Linked DNA regions of Bombyx mori. The main gene of each other region encodes a partner of the protein of the gene in region 6 in a complex. Links are inferred from orthologs where the notes say so. Each region holds a gene or a part of one and is shown on either strand. Other genes may lie near its edges.

What was found.
Region 1: U4/U6 small nuclear ribonucleoprotein Prp3 (region 6) and U6 snRNA-associated Sm-like protein LSm4 share a complex: the UniProt entries of both Homo sapiens proteins name them as parts of the precatalytic spliceosome. The link is inferred for Bombyx mori from reciprocal best matches to the Homo sapiens genes PRPF3 and LSM4.
Region 2: U4/U6 small nuclear ribonucleoprotein Prp3 (region 6) and peptidyl-prolyl cis-trans isomerase H share a complex: the UniProt entries of both Homo sapiens proteins name them as parts of the U4/U6-U5 tri-snRNP complex. The link is inferred for Bombyx mori from reciprocal best matches to the Homo sapiens genes PRPF3 and PPIH.
Region 3: U4/U6 small nuclear ribonucleoprotein Prp3 (region 6) and U5 small nuclear ribonucleoprotein 40 kDa protein share a complex: the UniProt entries of both Homo sapiens proteins name them as parts of the U4/U6-U5 tri-snRNP complex. The link is inferred for Bombyx mori from reciprocal best matches to the Homo sapiens genes PRPF3 and SNRNP40.
Region 4: U4/U6 small nuclear ribonucleoprotein Prp3 (region 6) and thioredoxin-like protein 4A share a complex: the UniProt entries of both Homo sapiens proteins name them as parts of the precatalytic spliceosome. The link is inferred for Bombyx mori from reciprocal best matches to the Homo sapiens genes PRPF3 and TXNL4A.
Region 5: U4/U6 small nuclear ribonucleoprotein Prp3 (region 6) and pre-mRNA-processing factor 6 share a complex: the UniProt entries of both Homo sapiens proteins name them as parts of the U4/U6-U5 tri-snRNP complex. The link is inferred for Bombyx mori from reciprocal best matches to the Homo sapiens genes PRPF3 and PRPF6.

Annotation. Positions count from the first base shown.
Region 1 is NC_085117.1:3,992,036-3,994,793, forward strand, and holds U6 snRNA-associated Sm-like protein LSm4, read left to right. Parts: upstream 1-1,432; 5' UTR 1,433-1,799; coding exon 1,800-2,219; 3' UTR 2,220-2,258; downstream 2,259-2,758. Other genes in the region: guanine nucleotide-binding protein-like 1, read right to left, coding at 22-115. UniProt on the Homo sapiens protein: Plays a role in pre-mRNA splicing as component of the U4/U6-U5 tri-snRNP complex that is involved in spliceosome assembly, and as component of the precatalytic spliceosome (spliceosome B complex).
Region 2 is NC_085116.1:6,471,981-6,475,057, reverse strand, and holds peptidyl-prolyl cis-trans isomerase H, read right to left. Parts: upstream 1,585-3,077; 5' UTR 1,245-1,584; coding exon 1,161-1,244; intron 1,072-1,160; coding exon 895-1,071; intron 813-894; coding exon 519-812; 3' UTR 501-518; downstream 1-500. Other genes in the region: coenzyme Q-binding protein COQ10 homolog A, mitochondrial, read left to right, coding at 1-331. UniProt on the Homo sapiens protein: PPIase that catalyzes the cis-trans isomerization of proline imidic peptide bonds in oligopeptides and may therefore assist protein folding. Participates in pre-mRNA splicing.
Region 3 is NC_085109.1:1,114,831-1,119,030, forward strand, and holds the start of U5 small nuclear ribonucleoprotein 40 kDa protein, read left to right. Parts: upstream 1-1,400; 5' UTR 1,401-1,630; coding exon 1,631-1,747; intron 1,748-2,058; coding exon 2,059-2,185; intron 2,186-2,746; coding exon 2,747-2,950; intron 2,951-3,271; coding exon 3,272-3,514; exon of another isoform or gene 3,515-4,076; coding exon 4,077-4,200. UniProt on the Homo sapiens protein: Required for pre-mRNA splicing as component of the activated spliceosome. Component of the U5 small nuclear ribonucleoprotein (snRNP) complex and the U4/U6-U5 tri-snRNP complex, building blocks of the spliceosome.
Region 4 is NC_085120.1:13,294,256-13,298,492, forward strand, and holds thioredoxin-like protein 4A, read right to left. Parts: upstream 2,801-4,237; 5' UTR 1,991-2,800; coding exon 1,913-1,990; intron 1,622-1,912; coding exon 1,485-1,621; intron 826-1,484; coding exon 612-825; 3' UTR 402-611; downstream 1-401. UniProt on the Homo sapiens protein: Plays a role in pre-mRNA splicing as component of the U5 snRNP and U4/U6-U5 tri-snRNP complexes that are involved in spliceosome assembly, and as component of the precatalytic spliceosome (spliceosome B complex).
Region 5 is NC_085109.1:9,935,192-9,939,472, reverse strand, and holds the start of pre-mRNA-processing factor 6, read right to left. Parts: upstream 2,801-4,281; 5' UTR 2,687-2,800; coding exon 2,592-2,686; intron 2,520-2,591; coding exon 2,460-2,519; intron 1,885-2,459; coding exon 1,761-1,884; intron 450-1,760; coding exon 319-449; intron 1-318. Other genes in the region: centrosomal protein of 162 kDa, read left to right, coding at 3,263-3,652. UniProt on the Homo sapiens protein: Involved in pre-mRNA splicing as component of the U4/U6-U5 tri-snRNP complex, one of the building blocks of the spliceosome.
Region 6 is NC_085130.1:18,563,303-18,566,215, forward strand, and holds part of U4/U6 small nuclear ribonucleoprotein Prp3, read left to right. Parts: coding exon 1-94; intron 95-1,378; coding exon 1,379-1,434; intron 1,435-2,686; coding exon 2,687-2,836; intron 2,837-2,913. UniProt on the Homo sapiens protein: Plays a role in pre-mRNA splicing as component of the U4/U6-U5 tri-snRNP complex that is involved in spliceosome assembly, and as component of the precatalytic spliceosome (spliceosome B complex).

The DNA.
Region 1 (2,758 bases), on a different chromosome or scaffold from region 6:
CGAATATGTGATAATACGTACTAGGCATGAGTAAAACCTTGTTCTGCTTCTTAGACTGCAGTTGTTGTTTTTTGGCCTTCCCGCTGAACGGGGTCTTCCGACGTGCTTGGGGCATGACGAGTAACTCTGTTAATTATGGACAATGTTATTATGAAGTAAACATCTTTACAACTGTTGAACTGCAAGTACAGTTTTAATATTTTTCTGGGTATTTTAATTATTTTATTGAATATCACGTCATAGTATTTTACCATTATACTTTTTCTCGCTCTGATGACCAGATTTGAAGATACAAAAGTAACGCTTACAGGTGTAAGTGTAAACTCAAAAAATGTAGGTACTGGGTAATGTATTATTTATCAAATATACTAAACTAATTGATCGTAATAAGCGATTAAGAATCTGATTTTCAAAAACCGTAACCGATTTTTAACCGTAATTAAATCAAGAATTAATAAACTTAACTAATTAATAAAGAGAAAAACTAAAATTTGGAACACGAGGTCTCCTTGGAATATTATAATTGTACAGAAATAGTTTCAAACTTACGTTAGACTCAAAACAAGAAATCTATTCCTAATTTCTCACTGAAGGGCTTGAACTTATTATCTTTTTACCTATTTAATTGATTTTCGTGTGAATATGAAAATTATTCTACCGACCGGCTAACAATTGAAAACATTTTTTTTCACAGGATTGACAATTGACAGCTGACCGACAAATTAAAGGCATTGAACTCTGTTTTTTTTTTCAAATTTAGGATATTTTCTAAGGGATTTTATGACCTAGTAACTAAAACTTTTAGGTCAAATCTTATTTTAATTTATTTAATTCTTATTTTTACGAAAAATGATAATATAGAGTGAAATGAAATGAAGATGAAATGAAGTGAGATGAAATTAAATGAAATGAGATGAGATGATGTAGGATGAAATATAATCTCAGTAAAATGGTGGACATTTACTAAGACTTTTCAATTGGCTCTTTGGACGATCCCAACAAGCTACGTCTAGCGGATTTGTTTCAATTTCCCACACTTGTGCACTTTCACAGATATTATACAGTTAAACCTGAAGAAACAATAAATAGACAAAATAAAACAAATCACACAACTTCACTCCCCGCGTTCCCGCCAAAAAGTAAAAATTTATGATAATTTTGACAGCTCACAGTAAGGATGCTAAAGTCATTGACTTTGGATTATCGAACATAGATTTATTCTCATGGAACTAGAAATTGATAGTTGCATGGACAGTAAGCTGTATGGTCAAATTAAAACAAAAAAAGTTACATTACATTTAACTATTAAGTTCAGCAACAAAACCCTTCAACACCAGTTTCGATACGTTCTTTTTTTTCATCATTTATCCTATTGAATGCAATTTTTGTAGACGGGTTCACCTTTAGAATAAATTGAAACCAGGAATGAGATTTCTAATTATTTATTACTAATACAATGGTGTGCAACGTAAATTGTTTTATTATTATTCATCATCATCACAAGATTCACTACTACTAGAACTGTCCCTTAACTCTCCAGTTGGACTCGTCTACTTGTAAATTCTTGTTCACAAACTTCATTACATTACCATTGAAGCAATTTTCACTTCTTCTCAAATATTAAGTGTATTATCTGTGCGTCTTCTGACAACTGAGCACTGTCAGTGTCAACCTAAAGTCCTAAAGTAACCTAAAAAAACAAGAAGTTGACAATACACCAAACAACGCGAAAGTAGGAAAATAAACTTCTAATACAAATAAATAATAAACTTCAAAACGAAGTTGATCATTACATCAAAATGTTGCCGCTATCTTTGTTACGGACAGCGCAGAACCACCCTATGCTTGTCGAATTGAAAAATGGCGAAACTTACAATGGTCATCTCGTAAGCTGCGATAATTGGATGAACATTAATTTACGTGAAGTTATTTGCACGTCGAGAGACGGCGACAAGTTCTGGAGGATGCCGGAATGTTATATACGTGGTAGTACGATCAAATACTTGAGAATACCGGACGAGGTCATCGACATGGTGAAGGAGGAGACACAGGTTAAAGCGCGCGGTCGTAACGAGGTTTCCAAGGGACGCGGGCAAAACATGAGGACCGGTGGCCGTGGTGGTAGCCGAGGCGCATTCGGTAACCGCGGCAGAGCACCTCCACTAGCCCGTGGCGGCGGGAACCCGCGACCACAGAACAAAAATAAAAATAAAATGTAAGATAAGTTTTTTAATAAATTAAGTTATTTGGCTAAGGAATAGTTTTGTTTCATTTAAAGTTCAAAATTCCTCCATACATGCTGGTGCAAAGCAACCATATATTTGACCAAATCCAAGATTATTTATTAGTCATAATCCTGATGTAGAATTCATTGAAAATCAATAATATCTAAATAATTTGGAAACTGCAGATGCACAGGTAGTTATGAATTCATCAATCCATTAATATAAAATATTTAAGCTACCCATATCTCTGTTAAATCTAAAATGGGATACAACTTTATTATTTCTTGATATTTTAAGAAAATACATTTTTTTGTTTTATATCTTTAATTGGTTTTCACACTATTCAATTCGTGTCAATATATAAAAAAAATCAAAGTATACTGAAATCATTTATTTACAAAAAACGCTTAAAGTAATAATACTATTGTATAATATGGCAATACCCATTAATGAAATGGTAAAAAACAGAGTAAAAAAAAACAGTGTAAAAGCAATATTTTAATGATGATCCTTGAAACTTGATACAGATAGAG
Region 2 (3,077 bases), on a different chromosome or scaffold from region 6:
TCCTATCAATGAAAGCTACACTTCAAATGTTACGCTAGTCAAACCACATTTGGTAAAAGCAGAGTGTTCTGATGGAAGACTCTTCCACCATATGTTGACCCTTTGGAGATTCAGTCCTGGTCTAAAAAGAGAACAGCAGTCGTGTGTTGTGGACTTCCAGATAACATTCGAATTTAGATCAGCTATACATTCACATTTATCTAATTTGTTTTTTGACCAAGTTGCTCGACAAATGGAAGGTGCTTTCATTAAAGAAGTCGGAAGGCGCAATGGGCCGGCAACAATGCAGCCTAGAAAGTTACTAATAAACAATCACACTTTGAAAACTTGACGCTTACTAATTGCAAACCAAAAAAATTAGTTCAATTCAGTGTACATAATTATTGAGTATTTATTGTGATTACTTTATGTAAAAATTTGTGAATATTATATTTTATCTATTAGTCTGTTAGAAATGTGAGGCAGAGCCATTGTGATTTAATGATAATAAAAAGATAAAATTTAAAGTGAAGTTTTATTTACATTTGTCCACATTGAGATATTGTTACTGGTATTTTAGGTTTATTATTTGGTCCTGTTGGTACATTTTCTATTTTCCTCATGACAAGTAATCCATCTATAACTCTACCAAATACTACATGCTTATTGTCTAAGAAATTACATTTTGCACATGTGATAAAGAACTGACAGCCATTCGTGTCTTTACCACTATTTGCCATGGACAATAACCCTGGAGAGTCATGTTTCAAACCAAAGTTTTCATCTGCAAAAGTGCTTCCACCATATATGCTCATAACGCCTGTACCGTCTCCCTAAAATGAATAGTAAATATTAATAAACTTCCATCATGTTCAGTTAGGCATCGTTTTATCATAAACAAAACTTAATACGTACATTTACGAAATCGCCACCCTGAATCATAAAATCTTTTATTACTCTGTGAAAAGTAGCTCCTTTGTAACCTAAGGGCACACCATCCCGCCTGTATTCACCGGTACAAAATTCTCTGAAGTTCTCACTAGTTTTTGGTACTACGTCGGCGAATAACTCGAATATCATACGACCTATTTCCTAAAATAAACATAAATATTTTATAAACATAAATTTTTGTGTGTTCTTTTAAATCTAATAAAAAACAATAAGTTCGGGGAGGTATTTACCGTTGTTCCTACAGTAATGTCGAAAAACACTACTGGATTGTTAGGATTCCTAAGTTGTGACTGTATTTGGTTCCAAGTAGGCATTTCAATGTGTTAATATTGAAATTTTTACTAAAACAACATTACATTTGTGTTAACAATTTAAAACTTCTATAAGTTTTAGTTTGTTTGATGTTTATTGTTACCCGGCTGTCAAATTTTGAGGTTATACTTTTGACATCCTTTCCTTGACATTAGGTAGCTTACAAGCCTATTTGTCCAGATCTAAAAACGGAATTTCTGGTGACTTCAAAGGACAAAACTTCACGTTTAGCGAATTTGTTACATTTTAAGATTATAGCAGTTTCTTCTATTTCGGCGAATCGTAGATAATAATAAAACTATCCTAACCGTTTAATTTCAATTATTTCTAACGCTTAGAATAACTACATAAAGTATTCGTGATCACAGACGACTATGGTATTATTCGTCAACAATTGTATATTGGGCGGGACTTTTTTTCGGGGAAGGACAAAGTCGTGTAAATTATTGTATTTCGTAAATTGTGCGTTTCTTCAGATTTGAACGCCATACCTATCTTATAAGTTTTAATGGAACCTTATTTATTATCTAACAAATACCTACGGTGATGTCTTTCTTAATTCACTTCCTTAAATTTTATCCCATGAGCAATTAATTTAATTCCATTATTCCCCTTACCTAACATACATTTAAATTTATATATATTATATTTATATTTATTTAAAGGTTACAGTTTTGTGACAAGAGTATTGAAATTTGTATGGTCTATCTCCTTTTGCCCGTCCAATGAACAAATTATAGATAATACAATAAAGAATGAATTTCAAACAATCAATCAAAGACTGGGCCAGGCCATAAATAAAATACAAAAAAATTCTAATCAAAGACTGGGAAGTGGGAACAGCAATTGAATTAAAGAGAGGTAAACTATTTTTTATAAATAAAACTCTTTTACGAGTTTTTATTAAATATGGAAAGTAATGACCTACCTATTGATTATTATCAAATACTAGATTGCGATAGAACAGCAAGCCTTGAAGAATTGAAGAAAAGTTATCAGCGACTCGCTTTGACATTACATCCCGATAAAAATAAAACTGATGATTCTGATAATAAGTTTCGCCTATTACAAAAAGCTTGGTCAGTTTTAAGAGAACCTAGCACCAGGAAACAGTATGATGCTACATTAAGTTGCCATGAAAATAGTGATCTATTGCTTTATGAAACAGTAAGACTGTCTGAAATGGTGTTTGACAGTGATGAAAATGTGTATTTATACGATTGTAGATGTGGTGGGGTGTATGTGCTTAATAAAAGTAATTTTGTGCAATCTAGTGTAATAATTGGATGTGATGAATGTTCATTTTCGATTCAAGTGAATAGATAAAAAAGTATACATATTATTGCAGTTTTATTTATTTATTGTTTTATGTTTGGCTGATATTAAGTTTTCATCGGAACGAATACTTACAAAGTGAATGCCAACAACCACCACAGTGTAACTTAAAACTTTGGGTCGGTTTCATTTCGTTTACTTTTTTATGTTAATTAATCTAGATTTCAAAAAAACTTAGTTACTTTATGTAATCATTTTAATTATGTCTGATTATGAAATATTTGAAATTTAAAGTATAAAGTTTAATTATATAAATATAGTATTATAATAAATAGAGTATAAATATTGCAAAGTTCCAAAATATACATCTATATAGTTATCAGTATAGTTTAAAATACAGACATACAATAATCTCCTTCTGATTCTAATATTTAGTCATTCATTTTTTCCAAGTCCAATTCCTAACCATTTATTATTATTATTATAATTTTCGGGCGGGGGCCGAACCTCCTACGAGGTCCCGTGCCTAGGGGGCGCACGGGGTATGTGGGACTTGACGA
Region 3 (4,200 bases), on a different chromosome or scaffold from region 6:
CAAAATTATAATTGTAATTACTGGTGGTAGGACCTCTTGTGAGTCCGCGCGGGTGGGTACCACCGCCCTGCCTATTTCTGTCGTGAAGCAGTAATGCGTTTCGGTTTGAAGGGTGGGGCAGCCGTCGTTACTATACTTGAGACCTTAGAACTTGTATCTCAAGGTGGGTGGCGCATTTACGTTGTGGATGTCTATGGGCTCCGGTAACCACTTAACATCAGGTGGGCTGTGAGCTCGTCCACCAATCTAAGCAATAAAAAAAAAAAAATGCGTTCTCGTCTCTTTTAAAAGTTCATTACACAAACAAAGCGATCGGGGCTACACGTGAAAAAATTGTAACTTAAACAAATGATTTATAGCCGTCGTGACCTAAAGGATATGACGTTTGGTGCATTCGTATGTAGCGATGTAACGATGTTCGAATTGCGCAGGCAAGTGCCAATTTTTCTAATGAAATACGTACATATCAACTAAACTGACTTCCACGGTAAAGGAATAACATCGTGTAGTAAGAACAAAGCCCGCAAAATTATAATTTGCATAATTACTGATGGTAGGACGTCTTGTGAGTTTGCACGGATAGGTAGCACCACCCTGCCTATTTCTGCCATAAAGCAGTAATACGTTTCATTTCGAAGGCTGGGACAACCATTGAATTTTTGAGGAGGCAGTCTCCTCCCGGTGATGGTCACGGGGCCTCCCCCGGGCCAACTCCCTCACCTGAGGGGGTTGAGGCTGCGCCGCACGCTACCTACCATCACTCTAGCGCGCTGGCACAAGGAGGACGGGACAACACGTCAGCGACTACGGCCTGCAATGCGGTCCGCATTGTCGTCGTCACTATCGTCGCCGAACATACTGTGGAAGAGCAACGCGGTCGGAGGTGTATCGCGTTCTGACCCATCAGGCTGGTTTTGGCCAAGCAGAGTATCCCAGAACACCAGCGGCATCGCCCGGGCGGCCAGGTAGGGCCACCGTACCGCGGAGACCAGCGTCATTGGTCATCGACTACCGTCTCGACGACCCGTCGGTCAGGGGTCCTCGGAGGGGCGCCGCGTGTCTGGTTATAGTGTTGACCGCGGGAACCCCCCCTACATTGTCCGGATTCTGAGCCCGGACGGAGATCGGACGTTGGGTGTAAATGTGCAAGGGAGTCGTTTAGTGCGGTAGGGCCCTAAAACTCCTTGGGCCCGCGGTCTGCTCCCAAAACCTGCAGATCGTAAAGTTCCACATATCTCACGCCCTCTTAGGCGCGGGGACCTCTTAGAAGGATCGGCCCCGGGCCCGAAAAAAAACCATTGTACTTTAAAAACTGGGACATTAGAATTCAAATCTCAAGGTGCATGGCGGCATTTACATTGTAGATGACTATGGGCTCTAGTAAACACTTTAAGTTCTTCATTTTGAATGACTCATTATCTCATCTTCTCATCTGAATAGGTATACAAAAAAAAAACTTTTTAGAAGGTAGCTTTGTCTTTTGTTACAAAGAATTTGGCGATATTGGCTATTTTCCTTTTGCCTATACAATTGACAAATGAAACAAGCTAAACAGTCCTTATACCATTTTTAAGGTTAGTATTTCTGTTTGTAGCTATAAAAACAAATAGGTAAATAAACATCTTAAAAAATGCCAGATATAGAAACTAAAAGAAAAGCAGAGGATGTGTCTCTTGTACCCTCCAAGCGAGTACGGCATGAGATCTCAGTAGTCGGCACCAGAGAAAAGGCAGTTGTTACTTCATCTGTGAGTATTGTTTTCAATAAAGTTTACTTATTTTCTCAATAGTACGGTCTATAAAAGCTAAGAACTCTAACGCCACGGTGAAAGCATCAAGAGATCATAATTATAATTATTAGAAATGGAACATAACATCTAAAATAAACTTTTAGAAAAACACAATCTGTACTTAGGTAATCATGATTGATATTTGTTAAAATTTAAGGTAATACGAATTTTAGTCGGCTTTTACTTTAAGATTTATTTTTCAACATTTGTAGTGATCAACAAGATTCCAAGATTCCTGTGTTTTGTATTTTATATTCTTGTCGTTCTAGGTTCCACGAACATCAAACTTGTATGCGCCAATTATGTTGTTGGAAGGACACCAAGGAGAAATTTTCACAGGCAAATTTCATCCTGAAGGCAAACATTTGGCTTCTGCAGGCTTTGACAGACAAATATGTAAGTAACAAAATCATGACAAAGCTTTTGAATTGGCAAAGTGTTTCTAAAATTCACACTCTAATAATATACTACTATCAAAACGTTAATGAAGAATTGACACATTTGATAACACAAATTATAAGATTACAGTAGGTAGGTTTTAAATTTAATTGAAAAGAGTGAACAAGGTAAAATCTGACCTAGTGTATAAGTGATTATTGGAGACCATAGACATTATATTACAGCGTCTTAAATTTTCTCTGAAGTCCAAATCCATTTCAGTTTGATTTAATATGCATTATTAAGAATGACTGCCAGTACCAATATCCCAGGCATGGGCCACACTGTACTGGGGTTTTAGTGACACGAGCCCTATAATGTAGGGAACAATATGATACAATACTCAAAATGATAGCTGATATAAACTGTTTAGCTTAAGCCACCATTAATATAAAAAAATACAAAATAAATGTTTATACCATTGAAAATTTCCACCAATGTCAGGGTCATGTTGACAACTTATAAGCTGTACAAGTCCAACTTAGTAATATTATGATTTTTGATTTCTTATTTTCACAGTAATATGGAATGTGTATGGTCAATGCGAGAATGTGATGGTGATGAAAGGTCACACGGGAGCAATAATGCAGCTTTGCTTCTCACCTGATGGTTCACATTTGTACACTGGAGCTACGGACAATACTGTAGCAGTATGGGACGTACCCACCGGGACTAGAATCAAGAAGTTAAAGGGTCACGCTAACTTTGTGAACTCTGTTTCAGGTATGTTTCATAGTTTGAGTTTTGACACACAATGGTTTTCATGCTAGTGCTTTTTAGTAGTACAAATACACAACAGTAACTTAATTAAACATTACTTTGCACTCTCAGAGCCTTAAAGTGATTGGATCCAAATAAAGTGGGATTGACCTAAAATTGAAACTATAATCCGTAACCATGGTTTGAAACCAGATAACATCAATCTAAAATCTCAATGCCTGTGGATACAATAGAACTGTAAATTCATTCATGGCATCCATTAAAAAATTGGTTTAGACAACGTAACAATCTATTCTAACTTTCTCGTGTTATCTCTATATCCAGGAGCAAGAAGAGGTCCAGAACTCTTAGTTTCAGCTTCAGATGATAACACCATAAAATTATGGGATGCAAGGAAAAGGAATCCAGTTGCATCGTTTGACAGTTCATATCCAGTCACAAGTGTACTCTTCAATGATACAGCTGAAAAAATTTTATCCAGCGGTGTGGACAATGTCATCAAAATGTGGGATATAAGGAATAATCAGATTTCCTTGAAAATAAAAGGACATACAGACACGGTTACAGGTTGGTAATTCTTTATTGATTCTGATTAATTAGATTTTTATTAGGTGATAATACTGCAACCAGAAATTAAATTAAAATATTGATACAGTTTATCTAGAGTGGAGTGAGGGCAATATGATGACAGTAATGACTTCAGTCTATTAGTTAACTACTAAAATACTGATTACCATACAATGTATTTAACAAATATTGATCTTATGAGGAAATGAGAATGGATTGATTGGTATGCAGTACAGTAGTAGTAGTTGCATACATATGTATTTCTCTTTATAATCCCTGTTGTTACTTGTTGACGGGTGTATTGTAAACTTCTTCACCCATTCTGCCTTCGGTAGCCCAAACTGGTATTAGGTAATTTTAGAGAAATGTAACAGCTATTATTAGAATGTCTCTAGCCTTATAAGTAGTAATAATTCATGACTAAGACTACTTGTTTAGTTTACTTGTAGATCGTGAAGTCATCTACCCAGGTGCGGCAATAAATATGTGAATAGAAATCATATGAGTTTGATACATTTAATGACTGGCAATGTCTAACTTGTGTTGCAATACTCGTTTCCAGGATTATCATTGTCATGGGATGGTGCATATCTCCTGTCCAATTCAATGGATAATACACTCCGTATTTGGGACGTTAGACCGTTTGCACCAACAGAACGCTGTGTCAAATTAATGTCTGGCCACCA
Region 4 (4,237 bases), on a different chromosome or scaffold from region 6:
GAGGATCCGAAATGACGTGTTTAGGGCTTCTCGTCCCTCTTGGCCTTGGCACGACCGTTTATCGGTCTTTTACTGGTATTTTACTGGTGGTAGGACCTCTTGTGAGTCCGCACGGGTAGGTACTACCGCCCCGCCTATTTCTGCCGTGAAGCAGTAATGCGTTTCGGTTTGAAGGGTGGGGCAGGCGTTGTGACTATACTGAGACCTTAGAACTATATCTCAAGGTGTGTGGCGCATTTACGTCGTAGATGTCTATGACCTCCAGTAACCACTTAACACCAGGTGGGCTGTGAGCTCGTCCACACATCTAAGCAATAAAAAATAAAAATAAAGTATTTTTGATAATGGTTTTTTTTTTTTTCAATGATGAAGATATTGCAACACAAAAAAAAGGATCTACATCAGCATAAAACTTGTCATTTATTCTACTTTTACTTTGTTTAATATCAGGAAGAACAGCATAATTCCAAAAACACATGAGTTATAATGTAATATGTATAGTTCTTATTTTTATATAAAAAAAGTTACATTACTAAATTTATGATGACTATGATGTCAGATATGATTACAAATTACTAGACCATTCAGGTGGAACATTATTTTAAATTAAACTAATATCTGTATTTGGTAGAGTAATCTTTCGGTGAGACAACAAGACCTCGTCCTTTTCTTGCCCCTCTGTACACAGTTTCAATAATATCAATCATCTCCTGCTTGTCTTCGAGAGGCCAGTTGATTTTATTGTTGTTGCCAGTCCCCAAGTCAATCATTATGTGTTTGTTGCGGAAGAAGAACATCACTGTGCATGGATCGTATAATTCATACCTAGAAATAAGTTTAAATAATATTATTATAGGCCTTGCTTAGTCATTTTATATACTAGACCCTTTCTACTAGACTAGAACTTTCAACCTTTTTTACTTAATGATGTATTAACATACTCTATATATACATGACACCCTTAAATGCAAAGATTTATAGTTGGGAGTGATGGTTGTTGGTATTTACATCACTCATATGTAATACTGTTGTATGGTTAATATTTAATAAACAATTGTATATTTAACCAACATGTATCCCTGAGATGCAATTTCCCAGATCACCTTAAATAAAAATTGAAATATCGTATTTCTAATTTTCACAACACACTTGACTTGCAACATTCCAGTGATCAAGAACTGCTGTTCTACTCTAGTCTTAAAATCAACAATTTGAAAAAAATTATTAACAATGTAGATAATGAAATTCATTTACTGTATGAACCAGACTTATTAAGAATTCCTAGAAAACTCATAGTTCTTTGCTTCTTCACTTATGATACTTTTTTAATAATTAATAAAACAACAAATTTAATAATACAACATAATTTCCTTAAAACACTGGAGGTAGGAGGACTTGTGTATTCCACAAAGGTTTTAAGAAAACCTATCAAAATCTTAATTTCAGAAATAAATTTAGAACAAGTAGTTTTACGGTATACTTACATTTTATTAAAATCTGGAACTTCTGTAATGTCAACTAAATATATGACAGCAAAATTTTTTACTTTTTCCGCAATGCTGTATAATACTTCATCCATTTTCATACATGTTGGGTCCCAGTCGTGTCCAAACCTTATAACCTAGATATGTAAATTAGAATTAATTACATTTAATATAGTTGAATCATAGGGCAAGACAATTAGGCCACTAATTAAATAACTATTAACTGTTTTGGCTCAAAGCATTTTGTTAGTTCCTTTAATTCAAAATCTATTGTTTTTTATACTAGAAGGTTGAAGGTCTTGGTTTCTACTGCATTTATATACTTTAACAAATACCTATTGATGTAAGGTTAGAATATAATTATTATTTTTAGTCTTCAGATACTAAATCTCAGATTTCTACATTCTATGAATCTAGTTAAAACTCACCACTACACGGTCTTCTTCTGATAGAATGGCCTGATCTACTTGCCAACCATTGTGTAGATGTCCTAGCATATAACTCATTTTGCAAATAAACTACTTTACGTATTATTTCAAACAAACGATTATTCCTGTATTCTTTTTTCTGGAAATTGCTATTGCTATGAGCAAAATATAATCGTGTTGTAGGACCACTGAACAAATATTGATATTATTTTGCTCACTGAAATTTGCCTTTCACATCTAAGACATTCCAAAGTTATTTTATTCTCACATTTTGTTTCTCGTCACTGTTCACGTTTTCTATAGAAGTGTGTTCAAAAAGTTTAGAGCAGGCGTTGTCTTTTTTGTTACTTCATAACAAAAAGAATGTTCTGTGAAATAGAGAACTTTAAATTTATAATTATTTAATAATATGTAGGTATTAAGATATGACTATTCTATGAGTAAATTTACAAACACTGACTTTTACCAGGTCATAAAATACCTTAAAAAAAATCACAGACCACAGTATGACGTATGACAGTAGCAGTTCCATTTTCCAACAAGAAAGGCGGAGGTATCAGTCCATACAGCGTAATCTTTCATGGAATTATTCTGTTATTTATATCAATTTAATATGAAGTTAATAATGATATGGATGAAATGAGGTGAAGTTTATTTATTTGAGGCTTTAATGTTAATCATATATTTTATCGTTACAACTCTTATAGGTACAACAAGGTATTTAAATTAAATTATATAGGTATAGGATATAGGTTATAGGATTTAAATTAAATAAAATTAATAATTTTGTGCAGCGACCGGCGCGGCGCGTGCGCGTTATTCAATTTTTCTTTATCGACCCTCCGTATTTTTACGAATCCTGCGAGGCGTCGCGGCGTCGGTCGCACGGCGTTGTTCGACACTTTAGGGTTCCGCTTAGCGTGCGGGTGTTGTAACGTAATGTTACAACTGAAATCGTCTGCAAAATAAAAAAAGAAAATAAAAAAAACCTTAAAACAAAAGTATTTATGTTCAAAGCAGTTATTTTATCGATTGTACCGCTGAGGTGACAACAATAGTTCCCACCTCCCCCCGAGACGTAGGTTCGGCTGGCGCAGACACTGCGCAGCCGCTGCGCCGGCAGTCGTCACTAGAATCGACATCAACCCCACGAAAAGCACAGCGGTGCTCTTCAAAAGGGGTCGCCCTCCGAACACCACGCTGAGCATCCCCCTCCCGACTAGGCGCGTCAACACCTCCGCCCCCGCCATTCGCCCAATCACGATGTTCGACCAGCCCATACCGTGGGCCCCGAAGGTCAAATATTTAGGCGTCACCCTCGACAGTAGGATGACATTCCGCCCTCACATCAAGACGGTACGCGACCGTGCCGCCTTCATTCTAGGACGTCTCTACCCGATGATATGTAGGCGAAGTAAAATGTCCCTTAGAAATAAGGTGACACTCTACAAAATTTGCATACGCCCCGTCATGACCTATGCAAGTGTAGTGTTCGCTCACGCGGCCCGCACTCACTTAAAATCGTTCCACATTATTCAATCCCGTTTTTGCAGGATAGCCGTCGGAGCCCCGTGGTTCGTCAGGAACGTCGACCTCCATGACGACCTGGACTTAGAGTCCATCAGTAAGTATCTACAGTCGGCGTCGATGCGCCACTTCGATAAAGCGGCACGACACGAGAACCCTCTCATCGTGGCCGCCGGTAACTACATTCCCGATCCTGCGGACAGAATGGAAAGCAGTCGACGTCGCCCAAAACACGTCATCTCGGATCCTCCCGATCCACTAACGGTGCTTCTAGGTACTTCAAGTACCGGTCACCGTTCTCGTCGAACCCGTCGCTTGCGACGAAGGGCTCGACGAGTAAATTAACTCTCAGACACAGCCCACTGAGTTTCTCGCCGGATCTTCTCAGTGGGTCGCGTTTCCGATCCGGTGGTAGATTCTGCGAAGCACGGGTCTTGCTAGGGTTCGTGTTAGCAACGTCATCAGGTTTGAGCCCCGCGAGCTCAACTACAAAAGTTAGGGTTACGCTGAAATAGCCTCTCAAGGCTCTCAGCGTAGGTAGAAAAAAAAAGTGTGTGTGTCCGCTCCGACGCACGACTGGAGTTTACTGGATATAAATATAAATTTGTGTCAGTTGAATACAGTAAAATATGGAAGTTACGTATTCTAGTGAGAATGATCCGGGAGTTGCGGAACACGTGGATGCGGTAATTAAGTAAGTCTATATAATTCACTTTTACAATTAATATATAAGTTGTCCATTCACTGATAGAAGGAATTGTTTATATTTAATAAGCTTTATTAATAAATGATTTGTAG
Region 5 (4,281 bases), on a different chromosome or scaffold from region 6:
AATTTGATCTATATCGTTTTTACTATAACCACGTTTTGGCTTGAGATACGCTTTGTGGGACAGGGGATATATATACATGTATTCCCTATTTCCCATGAAATTTTCACTAAATATTCATTGGCCTAGTGAATTATCCTGTAAAATTTAGTAGCAATAATATCAAAGTCAAATCATAGATCAGCCAGCAAAACGGTCCAAGTTTGACTGGTGGTTTAATAAAAATATTGGTATTTTACATGAACACCTTCTGCAGTTGATTTGAAATTCCGCTTTAACTAAGCTAAAATTACGGTTAATAATCTTCAAAAGTAAAATAACCTCTCCTGTCGATATCTTTCCAAGTCTTCTTTAAGTCTTTTTTCTCTATACTCCTTCCTCTTCTCATCCATCCTCTTGTCAATGGACTCATAGATTGCATCTGCCTCTGCATCGTCTTTGTCATAAGGATCCTAATAATAAAGTTTACATTGTTTAATATTATGATCTACACTTAAGTAAACAATACAAGGTGTATTGGAATAATCTCAGAAAGTGAAGAATTAGCAAATATTGTAGGATTTGTTTGTTTAATCCTTTTGCTGAACATCCATGGATAAAAAATCATTAAATTTATGGTGGTTTTGTCTTGGATGGTGTTACAGCAACTGAAAACCCAGACTGTGATTCAATTTCCAACAGTAGCCTGCTAACATGTGTGGACTTTACCTTAATATTGTTTTTCTATAGTAGAATTTTTTGGTGGAATCTGTTAACATGTTCATTGCTAATAGAGCACAAAATTTTCATGAAAGAACTACATTTGTGAATGTACAAAATATATTTTCAGTGACATCTTATAGCCTAACGCCTAATAAGTAAATAATAGCACCGCAACAACATTCTTATAGTCACTCGATCAGTTACTATATAAAACATTCTAAAGCTGATTTCTCTAAATCTCAAGGTTTTCTTTAAATATTTCATCTTTCTTCAATTGCCTGATTTCAGGGCCGTATCAAATCAATTAAATTTCCTTGAGATAGTGGATATGGCTCATTAGATTAGGAATCTTCTCGAAAGTTTTCATTGCTTTTAGCATAGCAGACAGATCATAGCTTTGGGGTGGTCATGGTACAGTTCTACACCATGAGGGATCCATCTTTTAGCATATTGCTTAATTTTAGAATACTTTTAGGATACATAGTTCGACTTTTTGGTTTTAATTAATATTTTCTGCACAAGTAAGACAAAAATAACAATAAAATAAGTGGTTCATTGGTTCCGTCCAAATCATTGGAATTTCAAAAGTCATAGATTGAGATCTTCTCATACATATAACACAATAGATGTGTCTTATTGTCCTTGCTTTGTCTTATTGTCAGATGGAAAAGCCACAATACTGTTGATGTAGTTTAGTTACTAATGGTGTCAAATTTCTATACAAAGTTTTAAAAGTTATGTAACAAAAGTTACAAATGTAAGAAAACTGGTCAGGATATTTTTTACACTTTCTTTACATTATTTAAGAATTAATTAACTCAGAAAAGTAAATACTATACTCTTAGCATATTTTTTTTTACTGTTATATTGTAATCTTAATACAACAAGTTTGTACTATGGTTCTGCCTTACAAAACAACAAGTTCAAGTTAAGATTGCATAGCATGATGCAAAACATACACAGCATGTCTCAGGGAGGTCATACTGGTATCTAAAGTTTTGTCAAATCCTTATGTCGAGGCTCACATCAGTTCAACTGTCTAAACTAGTTAAATAAAATACCTTAGAAAACAGAGATCCACTATATCCTGAGAACTCATCATAGTTAGAATCATTTAAGTCTTCATCATCATCTTCGTCTTCTGTTTTCTTACGTTTTGCAGCTGGTGGTGCATGACGATCATCACTAAAATAGGAAAATAAATATAAAAAGGCAATATATTTTTCATTTATAACAAATTAAATTTATTCTTACAACTTTGAAGCAATATCATGTCAAAATTAAGTTTGAAGTCACAGCAGCTTAAAAGATAAAACGCCCTGTGTGTTTGTATCAAAAGCTGCGACTATGCCGGTAATTGAATCCCACAGATGCCTGTGCCATTAATTTTTCTAATGAGCGTATTTAACTCATATTCATGAATGACTTCCACAACATGTAACAAAAATAAAACTAGCAAAAATTATAATTTTTATAAATACTGGTAGTAGGGAATCTTTAAAGCCACCACTGTGCTGTCTAAGCAATAAAAAACAAAAACACAGGAAGGTCGAATGTTCTTCAATTTACCTTTTTTGTCAATAGAAAGGATACATACGTTTTTTTTTTCTCCTAAACTTTGTCTTTAATACCGAGTAAATATCATAAGATCTTCATTCATAAGATTGAGAGAAGATTCATAAGTTCTTCTATCAGGCTTCATCTTTTGATGTTGATAAGTTCTATTAAATATTATTAAATATATTTTTTTAAATACTTACGACACATCGTTAGCGTCTCTTGCAGGACCAATATCAGATCGAGTCGTGAAACCAGTAGCTCTGAAATAATTATTAATACAATTATATTTGAGCTTGAATACACTTGTTTATTTTATATTTGAAGATACGCACCCTCTTCCTACACCAGCGACATAACCTAGCGGTGCGGGAATGCCTAAGAAATGCTTTTTGTTTTTGTTTACAAATGCTTGTGGTGGTACAGACATTTTTAAGGAAAATATGAAGTTAAGGTTTTTTTAGAAAACACTATTTTTGCAAAAATAGCCTTTTCTTAAATTTTACGAAAAGCTAACTTATGACATATTGTTAAGACTGTCATTGTCAAAAATTTTCAAAAACTGGAAAGGCAAAAGTAACATAGCATACACGCTTATCGTTTTTTGTGGGTGTGTGAGTGAAAGTGAAATGAAATTAAGTTGATTGATTGGGAACATTATTGGAATTTGGCATAAGTTTTAAAACATGCGCCTGTTTGACGACTTACTCTATTTAGATTATGTGCGGCCAATATTTTCTGTACTAGCTGGTATAACAAGCCTAACATGGCTTAGTTGTAATATCATAGTTTAAAAACTCAGAGCCAGGGCCAATCAGGCAATTATAGTAAAAATTAGAGTCCGTCCGTTGCTAAGCAACTGAAATTGGTTTGATAGTTTGATTGAAAATAGGACTTCAGGGAAGGTTAGCTTATTTTCTGTTGCCAGTGAGTTTTATTTACCAGTGAGTAATACAGTACGCTGATAAGATTGAGAAAATTGTAAATTAAGAGATATCAATTTACAATGGCGAAGAGTTTAATGGCACAAAATCAAGACCTACCATCGAACGATAATAGTTTGTCTACAAGAGAATTTTTACATATCGAAAAGACTTGTGAAGCTTTTAAAGATAGTGACGAAGAAATTAAAATGATACTTAGTGAAATTAATAAGCTATCTGGTGGGAAAACTGAAGAAAAACTATTAGAAGGTGACGTGGACGACGTAGAGTTAATTTTAAAAAGAGCGGAAGATATAGCCTTGGAGACGGAAAATCTTCTGAAAAATAGCCCAGTTGCCGCTAAAATTCATAAACTAACACCGGAGAAAAGTGAACCGTCAGCAATACCAGAAATACTGGTAACCAAACCAACTGAAAATAGTCAAGAAATAGGAAAACCATCACAAAATAAGGTAAATGTAGTTAGTAACCTAAACTTTGAAAATAAGTTAGGGTTACTAGGTTAAAATAGCATTGTTCTGTAATGTCTGTGCATTAATTCCAAGAAAAGCAAATAAGCTAATTTGAACTAACAGTAATGCTAGTTCATGGCATACAGCCGTTCGATGCTAAATAAGATAATATCCCTTTTATCTATATATATAAAAATGAATTGCTGTTCGTTAGTCTTGTTAAAATTCGAGAACGGCTGGACCGATTTGGCTAATTTTGGTCTTGAATTATTTGTGGAAGTCCAGAGATGGTTTAAAAGGTAGATAAATATAAAAATGCTCGGAATTAAATAAAAATTACAATATTAATTAAAAAAAACAAATTTTACTTTGATGTGTCCCCCGTCGCGTCGGACGGATTCCTTTTGTTTGTTTTAAGTTTATTTTATACAAAAAAATAGGTCTTTTATTTATCGATTGAGGCACTACAAAGTCTGCCGGGTCAGCTAGTTAAAAATAAAATAATTTCCATTTTTGTGTTCAGGTTTATTACCATAGCGACAATTAAAGACAATTAAAAAAAACAAATACATTTGTGAAAGTAGAATTTATTAAGATATAATATAAATATGCACATAATTAATTAATTA
Region 6 (2,913 bases):
GGCCAAGGTCAGGGAGCAGATTGCGAAGAGACAGAAGACGCATCTGGAAGCGAACAAGGCGAGAGCTCTCACCAAGGAACAGAAGAGGGAGAAGGTAGGTTGGGAGGGGAGGGTCAGGTTGCGTTTCCGTTTGAAGGGCGGGGCAGCAACTGTACCCAACTAAGCAATAAAAAACAATAAGAAAAACGGTAAGGCTCTTCGGTAATAGCTTCATGGAAGAGCACAGGAGTAGTTTGGGTGCCAAGCACAGACCTCACACAATATATAATGTTGTCTAAAGGTGGCAACCCTCACACGTTGCCCGCGAGCTCATTTTAGACATCAGAGATAACTTTATATATTGTATTTACTTTATATGTTCACCGTGGTGCGTGAGGAATGTCAACCTTCACGATTGTCTAAATTTAGAATAGATCTTAAGGTAGCGTCAGAACGTTACTTCGACAAAGCGGCGCGACACGAAAACCCTCTTATCGTGGCTGCAGCTAATTACTTATCAGACCGCGACAGGGTAACGTAAAGCCTCCGTCGCCCGAATCGCCGCCGAATCCATATTATTAGGTCGCTGGTTCATCCGGCTCGAAGGACCAAAATATAGGGAGCGGTGTGAGTTTGTTATTGAAAGAATATGTTGCTTAAAAATTTTTATTGTTCAAATATTAAGTAAATCAAAGAAATGTTAACTATAATGTTATGAATGCACCCGGGTGACGCGGCTGTTGATCGTGCACTAACGATTTGTGGAATTAAAGTTAACGTGTCACGCGAATTATGCTGACAAAGGTGTTCGGTAATATATCACCGAACAACATGTCTTGCCGGATCCCCCAGGATTCCCTTTCGGTGCTTTAAGGCTAACTAGGCTTTTAGGCGAACTAACCCATAGACACAGCGACTGAGTTTCGCGCCGGATCTTTTCAGTGGGTCGCGTTTCCGATCCAGTGGTAGATTCAGAGAAGCACTGCTCTTACCAGGGCCAGTGCTAGCAAATTGTCTTAGGTTGAGTCCATGAGCTCACCTACCAGTCACGGCATGGCCCCTTAAGATATTAGCGAATAGGTAGGCAGCGGCTTGGCTCTGCCCCTGGCATTGCTGAAGTCCATGGGCGACGGTAACCACTCACCATCAGGTGGGCCGTGTACTCGTCTGCCTACAATGGCAATAAAAAAAAGGTAGGGAAAACAGATAACACTTCAGAGATATATATATTAATACATTGCTTAAAAGATAATTTCCCGCAATGTCCAAGATATCACTTCACATCACTTGTTCGTGTGATTTAAAAGAGATACAGATCGTTCAGTGCCGTCGGGCAGCGTCTTTATGTCGCTGTCCCCGGGCCCCAGGGTGGTCGGTCTGATCTCGTGGAACTCCTCAGGTTGACCGCAAGCTGCAGGAAGACACGTCGGCCGGCGTCCACGTGGCCGTGTACAGGTGAGTGCTTAGCGCCCCGGTGTTTTTAATTGAACTTTGTTTTTTTTTTTATTGCTTGGATGAGTGGACGAGCTCCCAGCCCACCTGGTGTTAAGTGGTTACCGGAGCCCATGGACATCTATAACGTAAATGCCGCCGCCCACCTTGAGATATAAGCTCTTAGGTCTCAGTATAGTTACAACGGCTGCCCCGGCCTTCAAACCGAAACGCATTACGGCTTCACGGCAGAAATAGGCGGGGCGATGGTATTGAAACTTTAAATGGTTCTGCTGTAAATTTGTAAAAATGTTGCTTAAACCAAAAAATTGTCTTTTTCACCCCTCGATATAAATTTGTAGTTTGTGAATCACGGATAAAGGTTAAAGTTAAAGTATCGCGCGCCCACACGGCAGGTACCGTCATTCTGCGTATTTCTGTCGCAACTCCGTCACGCGTGTTGGAGTCAGAACCTTCAGACACTTGTATGGTACAATTGAGGCTTCTTCCTCAATGTCCCGAGCTGGTTGGTCGCATTTGGAGAGCATTGGTAACGCCTCTCCAGACCATTACCGGCGGTAGGACGTCTTGTGGGTCCGCGCGGGTAGGCACCACCACCCCGCCTATTTCTGCCGTAAAGCCGTAATGCGTTTCGGTTTGAAGGGCGGGGCAGCCGTTGTAACTATACTGAGACCTTAGAACTCATATCTCAAGGTGGGTGGCGGCATTTACGTTGTCTATGGGCTCCAGTAACCACATAACGCCAGGCGGGCCGTGAGGTCGTCCACCCATCGAAGAAATAAAAAAAAACGCATAGAGTCACAGTCAAATCAGAAATAAGGAGATTCGCAGGAAAACCATGGTAACCGACATAGCCCAAAGGATTGCGACGTTGAAGTGGCAGTGGGCAGGACACATTGCTCGTAGAACAGATGGCCGTTGGGGCCAAAAAGTTGTTGAGTGGCGACCGCTTACCGGAAGACGCAGCGTGGTTAGGCCTCCCACAAGATGTACCGACGATCTTTGGAGGTTCGCGGGGATCCGCTGGATGCAGACAGCGCAGGACCGGTCTTTGTGGCGAGGCTTGGGGGAGGCCTATATCCAGCAGTGGGGGAGGCCTATGTCCAGCATTGGGGGAGGCCTATATCCAGCATTGGGGGAGGCCTATGTCCAGCATTGAGGGAGGCTTATGTCCAACAGCGGACGTCTGTGGGCTGATAAGAAGAAGAAGAAGAAGAGTCACAGCGTCGTTGCTGAAGCGGTACCTTGTTGATAGGATCCGTGATCTGTTCGAGTGCGCGTCGGCCAAGTTCAAGGTCGAGGTGAACGCCCAGCAGCTGCACATGAGCGGCTGCGTGCTGCTGCACCGGGGCTGCTGCGTGGTCGTGGCCGAGGGGGGCCCCCGCCAGCACGCCAAGTACAAGCGGCAAGTACCACTCGGGGGGGTCACTAGCCCACTGAGTTTCTCGCCGGATCTTCTCATTGGGTCGCGTTTCCGATCCG